2 linked regions of the Struthio camelus genome follow. The protein of the gene in region 1 purifies or fractionates together with the protein of each later gene. This does not show direct contact. Links are inferred from orthologs where the notes say so. Each region holds a gene or a part of one and is shown on either strand. Other genes may lie near its edges.

The links. Proteins that work in one complex are often made in the same cells at the same time.
Region 2: the proteins of GAN (region 1) and NUDCD3 purify together in Homo sapiens (co-immunoprecipitation; 3 studies listed by BioGRID and IntAct, counting the BioPlex papers as one, with this or other methods). This does not show direct contact. The link is inferred for Struthio camelus from reciprocal best matches to the Homo sapiens genes GAN and NUDCD3.

Annotation. Positions count from the first base shown.
Region 1 is NC_090951.1:6,219,726-6,227,008, reverse strand, and holds the start of GAN (gigaxonin), read left to right. Parts: upstream 1-4,268; 5' UTR 4,269-4,364; coding exon 4,365-4,531; intron 4,532-7,283. UniProt on the Homo sapiens protein: Probable cytoskeletal component that directly or indirectly plays an important role in neurofilament architecture.
Region 2 is NC_090968.1:1,537,463-1,544,359, reverse strand, and holds the start of NUDCD3 (nudC domain-containing protein 3), read right to left. Parts: upstream 3,005-6,897; 5' UTR 2,916-3,004; coding exon 2,718-2,915; intron 1-2,717. Other genes in the region: PGAM2 (phosphoglycerate mutase 2), read right to left, coding at 4,994-5,163, 5,468-5,648.

The DNA of each region.
Region 1 (7,283 bases):
TATTTGCTATGATACTAATAATTCATGGCAATGCATTTTCTTGGTGCTTGATTTCATGAACTGTGCTATAACCAAAGTTAAGTATTACACTGAGGTGCTACATCAATTTACAGCCTAAAAAAATCTGCTTTGCTAATAGTTTTATGGTATATTTTTTCCTTTTTATGATGACAAAAATGAATAACTTGAAACAGAATATATGGTTTTATGTAGCATTCAATTACACTTTAGCAGTATTCAATCCCAATGTTATAAGCAGTTTGTATTTAAATCAGTTTTGCTTGGGGATAATATCTGATATGACATTTCAAGTAATTAGATGATTGCATTGTCTAAAAGATAAATAAAAAGGTAATATTTGTTAATACCGTTCATTGTCTTTTTGTCTCTTTGTTAATAACAATAGGCATATGAATGAGAACAGTGTATTTCTAGCATAACTGAGATACACACGTTCAACAAATTGTTTAGGTAGAAGAGTGAAAGACTGAATTTAGACCTAATCTGAACCACTCAGTAGCTAAAACTGCAGTGTGTTGTTGTTGTTATTGTCTAGGCATTTACATTATTATCTGCTCAGGAGCATCCAAGTTCTGATGCAGGCTGATCATTGCCTTTAACAGATGCTTCCTAACAGAAATACACAATTCTCTCATTCACACTCACAGTTAAAAAGCATCTTTCAACCCAGAGTTCTAACACCTGGTACGCTATGTCTGTTTTTTTGGTATAGGAATGGCCCATGAGTGTATTTCTGGTTTTGGATTTGGGGCATGGATTTTTCTTTAAATGAGAGCCTTTGTTCTTTAAGTTGCATTTTCCTATTTTAGATCCTTTTACTGTTGAAGAAAATTAGCGGTACATCTATCCCTGTTCAGTGTTCGCTTGGTCTGTATGTATCATCACATGATCTGGGTAACTTCAGCTCTTCAATATACCCATCATCACAGCATCTCTGCTACTCGCTCTTTTTTACAGGTAGGAAACAGAATGAAATCATTGTAATTTTCTGTCTACCTGTCAGATGAGAATCTGGCCTTTGGTGACTTGTTCATGATTGCATAAGATGTTTACGGCAGAGCAAAAATTGAAGCAACATCTTCCACGGTTCTTGCTTGCACTGTAACAGCGGTACCTCCCTTCCTCTGCTTAAGTCTTTACAGTTTATAAGTATAAAGAATCTACAGCCTATTTTTAACGTAGAAAGTGTCACCATGGTCTGAATTTAGAGTTTAGGTATGCAGCTGTGGGTGTTCAAATATTTATATATTCCATAAAATGGAAATAAACACCTCAGCAAGATATGTCTGCAGAAATGGTCATCTTTGATGTTTTCAAGGTGTTATTACCACTACTATTTAAGAGAACTTTATCATCTAAAGGAGAAACTGAATTCCATTTGTATAAGTAACATGGAAGCAGGACTAAAATGGAAGAATGATTTCTGACATTGGGAAAGTACCACTTAAAAGAGATCAGCTGTAGGGCTGTTTTGTTTTGTTTTTTTAATTTGCAAAAGTTTATATTTAAAAAGTTACTATAAAGATTTCTGGAGTTATAAAGAGCTCATAAAACAAATGTCTGACCACTATTACAAACCTCTTTTTAAGAGTTTGTGTCCAGAATTTCATCTGTGGAATACATTGTTTTATGTTTTTGGATGATCATGATTTTGGATACAGGAGATACTTGGCTTCTGAGGAGGTAATTCACACTGGACAGAAATAACATAATATGGGAACATCCATCAAAAAATAAATCAGATTTGTTATCTAACATCTAAGAAAACAAATACGTTATGTTCATTTAGAAAGACATCAGAAGATAAATTACAAGAACTTGTTTGGGGTATGATTTTTTAAAGTTAACTTAAAGAACAAAGTGCACTGTATTTACTTGGTCAAAATTACACAGGATGTGATTAGTATGATGTTTGCAATCAACCTGAAAAGAGAAGCATAGTGATGTAAATCTAGATTTGCCAATCCAAGTATTCGATCCAGGTCCTACTGCACCAGAAACAACGTGGTTCAGACTGTAAGTATGTTTAATCGCAAATTTGTTCAAGAATGTTTTTAGCAGTTGCACTAGTAGCCTGGTGAAACATTTAAGGTGAAGACGGTAATACACAATATCATGTCCAGGCTGACAAAACCCGTGGGGAATGCCTGTAAGTTTTGCCAAGTGACTGCAAGACTTGTGGTTTTTTTCTGTTGTAGCAACATGACAGATGGTAGCGAGTCTGTCATTTGCTGTGCTTCCCTGACATCCTTCACTATGAATTAAATGTTGAGGGACAGAAGGGTCTGAGTCGTCTTTTGCACCAATGTATATGTTTATTTGTCATAAATTAGCACCGTGAGACCAGCGGAGTTATTTTAATGGCAAAAGAATCTAGACACAGTGACTGCAAATAGAAATAGTATGAATAAGTAGCTTCTATAAATGTAAAATAACAGGAAATTGTTGAGCAACAGAATCAGGCCATAAGTGTGCATACATATAATTACTTCAAAGATGTTACAAACAGCCCTCTAGTTGTGCCCTACCAGTGTTTTTTTTATCAACAGGTTTCATTAAATGGAACAAATAACAAAACATAATAATTAATTTGTCCTGTCACAGTGGATATTATCTGTCCCATTGCCCCACATACACAGCAGGAGCAGAATCAATTAACTTGACCTATTTACTAAATATATATACAAAGAGAAAAATAATAAAAATAATAAATAAAGAGAAATACAACTGTGCTTTCCTACATAATAATCCATGCAGGAGGCATAGAAACAAGCCAGTGTTTTTCTTTTTAAATAACCAGGCTGCTCAATGACAGCTTTCACAATACTTTAAACTACTACTCCCTTGAGTATGCAATTACCAAAGTATTAATTACATCAGGCAGAATACATCTTTTGCCAGCAGTGCAAGATGCAGAGCACTCTCTGCTGTCATGAGAGCTGTGGATGTGCCTTCTCTGCATCTCTCAGAAGGAGGACAGTCGCCGTCCTGGATAATTACACCCAAGCCAGAAGAAGTGGCCTTCTAATATTTTTACGTGGGTATGTTGCGTTACGCCAATCATGCGCAGCTGGTGTTTCACAGGAATTAGTCTGTTTTTATGCCTTCCATCATGCCAGTGTGCGAAACGCGTTCACCGTTTCTTGTAAAATACTTGTTCAAAGCCGCACAGCAAGCCTGGAGCACGCTACTGCTCTCGGTGCAACCCTCCCTCTCCGGTCAGCGAAGCACCTAAGCTCCCTTGCACCTGAGCGAGGGCGAACCCAAAACGCTGCCTTAAATGGGCTATTCGCATTCTTCTGGAGCAAACACTTGTGGCAGAGTTTGGATTTAGCGAGGTGTCCGTGTGCCGGACGCCCCAGGGAAATCTCCACCTGGAGAACAGCACAGCATGGTGTCTGCTTCTGCAACGACCCCGTTGCCTGCGTAAAGCCCTTCGTTTCTCTTTCCCGGGCTGACATTTTGAGATACCTTTATTCTAATTTTTCCAGTGACACTACCAGACTGGATTAGGATGAACTACAGAATACAATTTTAAGTTTTCCCCCTTTCAAATAGACATATTCTTAAGTGCCATGCCTGAAATCACTGATTTAAAGGAGGGCAAATAATAGAAGCACGCTACCTAACATGTTTTTCCCCCAGTGGAAAGACAGAGATCTCCTCCTGCAACAGGGTATTTCACAAGCTAAGGAACCCGACTCGGCCGCCTCAGGTGTCGCCTGGGCCCGTGCTGCGCTCCCGTGTTTGCCTCCTCTCGGCAGCGCCGGCTGAAACGACACTCAAGTAGGTGACAGCTTTTAAAACACTTTCAGTTGGTGCAAATTCGGAGTTTCACGCCTGAACTATTGGACGCTATTAAAAAGAAACAGGTGGAAGCAAGCCATCCCCTAACGTGCAATAAAAGTATGTTAAATACATGGCCTAAAACCTCGTGAGAAGTCCTTTTAAAGCAAATCCATTTGCCGGAAAGGGGCGCAGGGCCAGCGGGCGGGCCCAGCCCGCTCCCTGCACCGGCATCTCGCTCGGTTTAACCCTCCTCCGCTTCAGCGTTTTGCGTGCGCACCGTGGGGGGGGGGAGGGGGGGGAAACGGCTCTACCGGTCACACGTGAGCGCCAAAGGGCAACAAGGAAAACGTTGTTCGCCACGCAGCGCCCGACGCCGCGCACGCGCCCCAGGGCCGCGGGCACGCGCCCCCCCCCCCGCGCCCTCCCCCGGGGCGGCGCGGCCCCGCCCAGGCGCGCGGGGAGATGACGTCAGGGCGCGGCGGCGGGCCGGCGGCCATGGTGCGCGGCCGCTGAGAGCGGGCGGTGCGGGGCCGAGCGGCAGCGGCGGCGGCAGCATGTCGGGGCCGAGCGCCGTGTCGGACCCCCAGCACCCGGCGCGGCTGCTGCGGGCCCTCAGCTCCTTCCGCGAGGAGAGCCGCTTCTGCGACGCGCACCTGGTGCTGGAGGGGGAGGAGATCCCGGTGCAGAAGAACATCCTGGCGGCCGCCAGCCCCTACATCAGGTGCGGCGGGAGCGGGGCCGCGCGGGACGACGGACGGCCCGGCCCGGCGCCGTGACTCGGCCGGGAGCGGCGGGTGCTGGCGGTGGGGCCCCGCCTGCCCTTGGGCGCCGCCGAAACGCGGCCCCCCCCCCCCCCCGGGCCTTTCTCCCCCCCCCCCCGGCGGCGAGCGGGGCCCCCCTGTCGGCGCTGGGCTCCGCGTCCGCCGGAGGCGCCAAGTGAGGCCGGCGCTTTGGTGGGGGTTTTGTTGTTGTTTGGGTGGGTTTTTTTTTTTAATGAGTGGGTTTTTTTTTCCTTCTAACAACACCTAAGGCTCCAGGCGGTGGTGACGGATTCCGAAATACACCCCGTCTTAAGTGTGAAGAAACTGTACGGGTTTATTCCCCCCCCCCCCCAAAAAAAAAAAAATCTCCTCTTTTTTTTATGCCCTCACAAATACGTGCGAATCTACCTCAGAAACTGCCAGCGGCATCAAGCCAGGTCCGCGCAGGTCCGCGGGCGTCAGCGGCACGTGCGGCCCGAGCCGAGCCAGAGGAGGACCAGCAGCGTTCAGCACAGTCATGGTGCCCCGGGGGCCGGCGCGCCCTTTGCCCTGGGCCGAACTTCCAGGGCAACCCGCTCCCCGGGCAGCGCTGTCGGCTCTCCTGTACGCTCAGCGGTGAAGGCGCCAATGGCGTAAAATAGAAAAAGCATACCCCGGTGGGAAGATTTTCATAGTACGGATCTGAGAGAGTGAATGAAACGTACAGGGGTTGAGTTCCATAGTTTTATTGTTTCTCTTTTTTGATAGGTCTTAGCAATTGCAGGTAATGGAGACTTTAATTTTGCCTTAGCATGTGAAGGACTGCACCCCTCGGTTTTACTTACACCTAGGGTTATCGTAAGACTGTAGCAGACGTCGGCCGTGTAATTCTGCGTGCTTTTAGGCTGTGTGATATTTTTGAGTGATGATTGTAGCAGAGCTTCGACATTCTTAAGTACAAAAATAAACTAGGAATGAATAGAACGTAAAGTTGGTGATTAAGCTTTAAATAGATGTCAGTAATGGACAGGCTTAAAGGAAAGGTTTTCTGATATTTCAAATCTAAGCGCCTGATTTTTCCATAGTACACGGACTAGCGTTATGCATCAGCTAGCAGGGCTGAGGGGTAAAATGAAATAAAATTCACGGAAATAAGAAGAGCAGCAAGGACCTGCAAAATGACACTAAAAAGCTGAAGTACTAGTAGTCATTTTTTCAATTCCTGTCTTGAGAAGCAGTTATGGAAGACTATATTGAAAGGCTAATCAGAGACATGAGGTTGAAATAAATATGAGCAGTTGATCCAGTACTCTTCAAAAATGCCAGAATGTTTTTTAGCTTGTTTTTTGTCATTACGAATCTTTTAGATGGCCCTGCATCATATCTGAAGTTAGTGTCCTAACAAAGACTCCTTGGCTGAGAAAAAAGGTTTGGTTTAGGTGGAAAGAGGCCATGTCTTGGAAAAACTGCTACTTTACTGTAATTATTGTATGGGTTTATATGAACTGTGTAATCTTTTGCTACGAAAAAGGCTACTTAATTAAAAGATATCATAAATTATTCTACAGAAAAGTTCCTTTTCACAGAATCTCCTCTTTAAGTATTGCATTCTGTCATTCACCTCTGAAAAATTTACTAGGAAACCTGAGCTAATAAAGCACACGCGAAGAGTCAGAGTGCCAAACATGACTGTTTTGTTGTTGTCAGTGTAGTTATTAGAGTTGTGGTGTTTTAAACTTAAAATCTTTCAAGTTCAGATGCCATCAAGGAACTCATTAACTATGTGTGAAGTAGGTTACACGTATTGATATATAAATGGGATTTTTTTTTAAGCTTACTCATCTTTTCTCCTTGGGCTTGCAACATGTAGTGAGCCATAAATAACACATACCAGATTTTTTTTTTATGGCATATAAACTCATCTGTCTTACCTATCTTTGCAGAGCCTAGTTTTTACCTGTGCTGCTTGTCTCTCCTCTTTCCACCACTCCAGGATCTCTTTCTTATTCCAGCTGCTCTTTCCATTGAGTAGAATTGGTTGGGTTGGTTGCTGGTATTGGAGAATTAAGTTTCTAAGCCAAAATTAGCATTCCAGTGACTCTTTTTAGAGCCAAAAATCACCGTTAGCCTGTCCCTAGTTTCTGCAAATATTTAGTCCCATTTCTTTTGAGTCTTTTTTTTAATAGAATGAGTGTGTGGTTTTTTTTTTTATTTTTTTAAATCTAAAAAGTTATTAGAGGAGACTCATGAATCTTATGTTGCAGACTAGATGATTCCAAAGCATGCTTTGGTACTTTGGTACCTTGGTACCAAAGCTGTTTAAGTCTCCAAGGTCTGTTTAAGTCTCCAAGTATCAATTGATTTCCGTTGCTTTCATTTGAAAGTTCCAAAATAAAACTCAGAAAATCTAGTAACTAATTTCAGAAATATTATTGGGTGGAGAAATGGGTGGGTATGGGATATTTACCCTTAGCAGTGGAGCAGTGGCAGGACTAGTTGGCGCTCTGCTTTCTGTTTCTGGCTCTGGCTGTGGGCAAGTTGGTGGGCAAGTTGAGAAGCTGTGTAGGGTTTGCATGAACGCTTAGTTTAGGGTGTGAGCGGGAAAATAAGTAAGCATGGGATTTTCTGAGGGGGCGGCTTGGGTGTGAGCAGAGTCTGTACGCTGAGGGATTTGTGTGGCCACAGAGAGAGGAGCGTTACCTGTTTTTTAGTTTTGCATGGAAGTTGTTTGGC
Region 2 (6,897 bases), on another chromosome or scaffold:
AGCGAGGAGATAGCATTTTCTCCCGAACGAGTCAAGGGAAAGGACATCAAAGCAGAGCCCTGTTGCTTCACCCCAGATTTCAGGCATTTGCACAGCACACCTCAAAACCGAATAAGCCAACTCAGTTTGGTCCACAGAGGGAACTGAGCCCACCTGCTCCCTGCAACAGTACCAGACTCCAACACTTCACTCTTTCTTAGGGAGGTGAAGCAACGGTATGACAAGATATAATTCCACCCTCAAGTTTGCTTCTAGCCGTTCAGAGCAGACGCTGTGACCATCTAGGGCAGGCTGGAGGTTAAAAGGCAAATCTGCCACATGGACAGAGCAGCCTAGCAGCGCCGAAGCCGACGGAGGTACGACGACTATGGATCTGTGCCCCCACCTCCTCCTCAGAGCTAAAACTCCTTCCAGTCAACAGAGAACCGTGCAACTCGTCAGGGTAAACACCCGCCCTGGGCTAGAAAGCAAGCGAGAGTCAAATACAGTCCTCGCTCCCTTCCCTACACTGCCGGGGAACACTTCCGAGCCGACTTCAGCGCTTTCCGCTTCCCGCAGGAGACCGATCCTAGGCCGGGGACCAGGCACACCCAGGCCAGCCAGGGCGTGCAGCAGCACCGGCAGATCTGATTTCTTCCTCTGTGTTCGGTACTTGTAAGGCAAGGGGGGGCAGTGCGGGGAGGCCTCACACGAGTGCTGTTACAGCAGGACACGCGCAGCGTCACATTGGGTCTGCCTTATTCCCCTTAACCAGAGCTTGTTCCCTGCTCAGGGAAGAGGCCTGCGGGACAAAGCAGCCCGAGAGAAGGGAGAGGAGGGAGATGGACATTTGTCCCACTCCTCTCCCTTTGAGATCCCTTTCTTTTTCCCCACTCCTCCGTGTCCCGGCTTTCCTCAGTGCCCACCCCCAGCTCCTTCTCTCGAGCTCACAGCCTTTTTTTCCTGCGCCCACCCCGCCGGCAGCGCCCGCTCAGCCTGGCAGCGAGCTGATGAAAATAGCCCCGCGGCTGCTCCGAGGGCGGCAGCTGCTCTGCGACCAGACCCCGGGCAGGAGCGGGTGAAGCCAAGATCAGTCTAAAGGGCAAATATCCCAAACGGAGAGATATCGCCCTCCCCGAGAGAGGTCAAGGCACGGCATTACCTTACATCTCCACAGGAATCCCAGGCCATGACTCAAACGTGCTATTCATAGACCGTTTCCCCTGACCCGCCACCAAAAACGAAGCTCAAAGCAGCCTGAGGCAGATCACCCAGGGTGACACCTCAAACCCATCTCCTTCCCCTCGGGCTACAGCCAAAGCCCCGAGCCAGGAGAGGGGACAAAAAGTCCCTCTGAAGCACCCCACACCACCCTATGCCTCGAGCAGTCTCTTCACTCCAGACCCTCATGGCTAGGGCCAGGGAGCAAGCAAACGGCAGCCTCAAATAACATCTCTCTCGGGAGAGAAATACTTAGGTTACAGCGTTGTGGTCTCCCTCCTTGCACACAAGCCCAAAACAGTCCCTGGGGAAAACGTGAGAGCCACCACAACAGCTAAGCGGCAAAGGCCCGCGGCAGGGTGCAACCCTGGGCGACAGGGACACGCCAGCCGGGGGGTCGGCGACACAGGCTCCCTCCCGCCGTGGGCCACCCCAGGGTGGGCGCAGGGAGAGGGAACGGGGTCTCGCATCGGCCTGTCTGCCACCGCTTCGTGTCCACGGGCTGCCAGAGCTGGGAAGAAGCCCTAGTCTGAGCAGATGAACACCTCCACCAAGCCAGGCCCCCATCTCTCTCAGCCCTTTTCCTCCTTCCTAATAAAGATTAATAACAGACTGCGACAGCCTTGAGTCAGAGACCTCTAGCGCTCAGTTTTCAAAATACCAAGCCCAGCCCAGCTCAGCTGTGGAAACAAGAGTTTGGAGCATTTGCCGTCTCTCTGACTGCTACCAGCAACGCAAAAAGGCCCTGCCCTCCACGTGACATCCACAGTCTCTTCTCGCTTTTTCCTGCTACCCAGGAGCCCCAGCTCCCGCAGTTTGGGTCAGCAGCATCTGGCGAGCCCTAAAGCGAACCCCACTTGCCCAAAGTGCTGCTGGCAGTTGCCTTCTTCGCCTGTTGCCCTCGACACTGCCTGAGCTCCGAGAGGGCATCAGGCCCCAGCTCCTCCCGCGAAGGCCTCACAGGCCCTGCCTGCCCTTTGGGGCTCCTTGTCCTCTTGTTAAGGGCGATCCTTGCCATCCACTCCCCCATCAATCTGCCAGGACACCTCTCCCACCTTGCCCCTGCTCCTCTGAGGAACAGCAAGGAGCATACTAGGCAGCAGCAGCAAGCTGGAGCTTTACTGTGTGGCCTCCTGGTCTCGGGGTCCCCCACCTTCCTGGGTCTTGCCCCACAGGCTGCTGCTACAAGGCAGGTCCAGGCAGCCACCCTCTCCCCTCCGGCTCCAGCACCGGGTGAGACATCCACCCCTGCAAAGACGGCGGGGACCGTCGCTCCGCAAACACGCCTGCAAAGCTCAACGGGAAGGACAACAGCAACCGACGGGGCCTTCAGGCCTCCCTGCCCGACAGCCCGGCCCGGCCGCCGACCCTCCCGAGGCCACCGGCCACCCTGAGGCCTCCAAGGCCTCGGGGCCGGCTCGGAGGGCAGGGCCGCGGCGGGGGGCGCTCTCGGGGGCCCTCAGGCGCCGAGCCGGGGCGGGGGGCCGCGGCGAGGCCCGGGGCCGCCCCGCCGGTACCTGGAGGGCCATGGCCTGGGCGGCGCCGGGCGGGAAGCCCAGGCGGTCGCCGGGCCGCAGCAGGAGGCGGTAGAAGTCGGTCTTGCGGTAGAGGAAGCCGAAGAGGACGCGCAGGAACTCCTCCACGTTGCCGACGTGCTGCAGGATGCCGAGCAGCGCTTGGTCGTACATGTCGGTCAGCGCCGCCGCGGCCTCCATGGCGGCTCCGGCCTTCGCCCCCCCCGCCGCCGCCGCCGCCGCCGCTGTCACGGCAACCGGGCCCGGCGGGCGCTTCCGGTCCGCCCCCGACAGCGCCCCCCGCGCTTCCGCCAGCGGCCCGCCGCCCTCAGCGGCCCGTCCGGAAACCGTTCCCTCCTCTCCCCCCCCCGCCCTCCCGCTCCGCGCGGCAAGGTTCCGAGGCAGCGAGCGCGGAGGCCGAGCTAGACCGCCGCCGCCCCACGTGACGGCAGGCGAGGCGGCAGGCGCCATCTTGGTTGTGGGCAGTCGGGCGGGCGCGGTCGGGGGTCGCCGCCGCCATCCCCGCGGCCCCATGGCGCCCCGCGGAGCCCCCGGGGAGCCGGGAGCCCCCGCCGCCGTCCAGGGCCTCCCGCCGCCCGCCGTGGCCGGCAATGGCGGTGCCGGGTGCCCCGGGGACAGGCCCGGCCAGCGCCTCCCACGGGGCCCCGGCCCCAGGGGTCAGTGCCCCCCCCCTCCTCCGGCCCCATGGACCCCTCGGGGTCCCGCGGTGCCCGTGGGGTCCCCCCGCCCTGCCCCACAGTGCCGCAGGAGCCCCCCAGCCCCCCCAGTGCCGCCTGAGCCCCCCCCAGCCCCCCAATAGTGCCAATGGGACCCCCCCAGCCTCCAAGATACCTAGTGGGACCCCCTAACCCCCCGATAGTGCCAGTGGGACCCCCCAGCCCCCCAAGAGACCCAACGTGACCCCGCCAGCCCCCCAATAGTGCCAGTGGGACCCCCCAGGCCCCCAAGAGACCCAATGTGACCCCCCCAGCCCCCCAATAGTGCCAGTGGGACCCCCCAGCCCCCCAAGAGACCCAATGTGACCCCCCCAGCCCCCCAATAGTGCCAGTGGGACCCCCCCAGCCTCCAAGATACGTAGTGGGACCCCCTAACCCCCCAATAGTGCCAGTGGGACCCCCCAGCCCCCCAAGAGACCCAATGTGACCCCCCCAGCCCCCCAATAGTGCCAATGGGACCCCCCCAGCCTCCAAGATACCTAGTGGGACCCCCTAACCCCCCAATAGTGCCAGTGGGACCCCCCAGCCCCCCAAGAGACCCAACGTGACCCCGCCAGCCCCCCAATAGTGCCAGTGGGACCCCCCAGGCCCCCAAGAGACCCAATGTGACCCCCCCAGCCCCCCAATAGTGCCAGTGGGACCCCCCAGCCCCTCAATAGAGCCAATGGGACCCCCCCAGCCCCTCCAAGAGAGCCAGTGGGACCCCCTAGCCTCCCAGTAGAGCCAATGGGACCCCTCAGTCCCCCCAAGAGACCCAGTAGGACTCCCCCAACCCCCCAATAATGCCAATGGGACCCCCTAGGCCCACAAGAGAGACAATAGGACCCCCCAGCCCCCCCCAAGAAAGCCAGTGGGACCTCCAGCCCCTAATAGAGGCAATGGGACCCCCCAGACCCACCAAGAGAGCCAGTGGGACCCCCCAGCCCCCAATAATGGCAATGAGACCCCCCCAGCCCCCTGATAGTGCCAATGGGACCTCCCCCAGCCCCCTCAACCCCCCCAATAGTGCCAATGGGTCCCCCTCCAGCCCCCCAATAGTGCCAATGGGACCCCCAAGCCCCCCAAGATACCTAGTGAGACCCCCTAACCCCCCGATAGTGCCAGTGGGACCCCCCAGCCCCCCTAAGAGACCCAGTGGGATCCCTCAGCCCCCCAATAATGCCAATGAGCCCCCCCCAGGTCCCCAAGAGACCCAGTGTGACCCCCCAGTCCCCCAATAGTGCCAGTGGGACCCCCCAGCCCCCTAAGAGAGCCAGTGGGATTCTCCCCAGACCCCAATAGTGCCAATGGGACCCCTCCAGCCCCCCCAAGAGACCTAGTGGGACCCCCTAACCCCCCGATAGTGCCAGTGGGACCCCCTAGTCCCCCAAGAGAGCCAGTGGGACCTCCCCCAGCCCCCCCAGCAGTGGAGCACCGCGTGGGCCCACCCCAGCGGCAGCCAGACAGTGGGACGCGGTGGGGCCCAGCCAGCCTTTATTTTGGGGAGGGGGAAGGGGGAAAAAGGGGGACAGGGACACGGCCACGGGCACCCCTCGTGGGCGGTCACTTCTTGACCTTGCCCTGGGCGGCCACGGCCTCCATGGCCTTGCGCACGGTCTCCTCGTCGCCCAGGAACTGCATGGGCTTGGTGGGTTTCAGCGCCGCGTCCAGCTCGTAGACGATGGGGATGCCCGTGGGCAGGTTGAGCTCCATGATGGCCGCGTCCGACATCCCTGCGGCGCGGCGTTGGGGGACAGGGACGTGCGCGTCAAGCCGGTGGTCGGTGGGGACGCCCAGATCCCCCCCCCAACCCAACCCAACCCGACCCAACCCAACCTGACCCAACCCAACGCAACCCGACCCAACCCAACCTGACCCAACCCAACGCAACCCAACCGGCTTCGGGGAGGGGGGAAACCTGAGCCGGCCGGGAAAGAGGAAAGGCCAGAGGAGCTGGAAATAGCCTTGACCTTCAGCGGCAGGGGGAACGGAGACCCAGCACCCGCGGGGGCCGCCGGCAGGGTGGCTGGCACCCACCTTCGAGGTGCTTGACGATGCCGCGGAGGCTGTTGCCGTGCGCGGCGATGAGCACCCGCTTGCCGGCCTTGATCTGGGGCACGATGTGCTCGTTCCAGAAGGGCAGAGCCCGGGCGATGGTGTCCTTGAGGCTCTCGCAGCTGGGCAGCTCGCCGGGCTTGAGCTCGGCGTAGCGCCGGTCCTGGGGGGGGGGTCACCGTGCCGCCCCGTTACCCTCCTGCTGTCCCCCTCTCTCCCCTCGTCCCCTTCCCTCCGTGTCGCCCCGTGTCCACGTTCCCCTCCTGTCCCCATGTCTCCTATCCCTGTTCCTGCCGTGTCCCTCCCATGTCCCGATATCTCCCCACGTCCCCCCATGTCCTCATATCCCCCCGTGTCCCCCCGTGTCCACATCCCCCCCATGTCCCCATATCTCACGTGCTCCCACGTCCCCATTCCCGTGTCCCCCATCTCTGTTCCCTCCGTGTCCCCCCTTATCCCTCCATGTCCCCCTATCCCCCATGTCCCCCATGTCCATGTTCCCCCCATGTCCCCAATCCCTGTTCCCTCCGTGTCCCCCCATATCAGTCTGTGTCCCCATATCCCCCCATGTTCCCCATGACCCCCCGTGTCCCTCCATGTCCATGTTCCCCCCATGTCCCCATATCCCCCCATGTCCCCTCATGTCCACGTTCCCCCCATGTCCCCATATCCCATGTCCCCCCATCCCTGTTCCCTCCATGTCCCCCCGTGTCCCTATATCGCCCCACATCCCCCCATGTCCCCATATCCCCCCGTGTCCCCCCATGCCCTCAAGCCCCCCCATCCTCATTCCCTTGCGTTCCCATTCCTCCATGTCCCTGTCCCCTCACGTCCCTTCCTGTCCCCATGGCCTGATGTGGCTGTGGGGGGGGGACAGGGTGCGAGTGGGGTTGTGGGGGCACGTGGGGGCACGTGGGGCTGCAGGCAGGATTGCATGTAGGGTGCAGAGACGGGTGCAGGCAGGATATGGGGGCTGGGGGGGTGCAGACACCGCTGGGGGTGCAGGCAGTGGTGCAGGGGGTGCTCAGGCAGGATATGGGTGCAGACACGGGTGCAGACATGGGTGTGGGGGGTGCAGGCAGGGCTACGGGTGCAGACACGGGTGCAGCGGGGGTTGTGGGGGGGCGCAGGCAGGGCTGCGGGTGCAGATAGGGCTGCGGGGGGGTTACAGGGGGTTGCAGACACGGGTGCTGGGGGTGCAGGCAGGGCTGTGGGTGCAGACACAGGTGTTGGGGGCTTACGGGGGGTGCAGACACGGGTGCAGGGAGGTGCAGGGGGGGTGCAGGCAGGGCTGCAGGTGCAGGGGGGGTGCAGGGGAGCAGACATGGGTGCAGGGGGGGTGCAGGGGGTGCAGGCAGGGCTGCAGGAACAGACACGGGTGCAGGGGGAGCAGACATGGGTGCAGGGGGGGT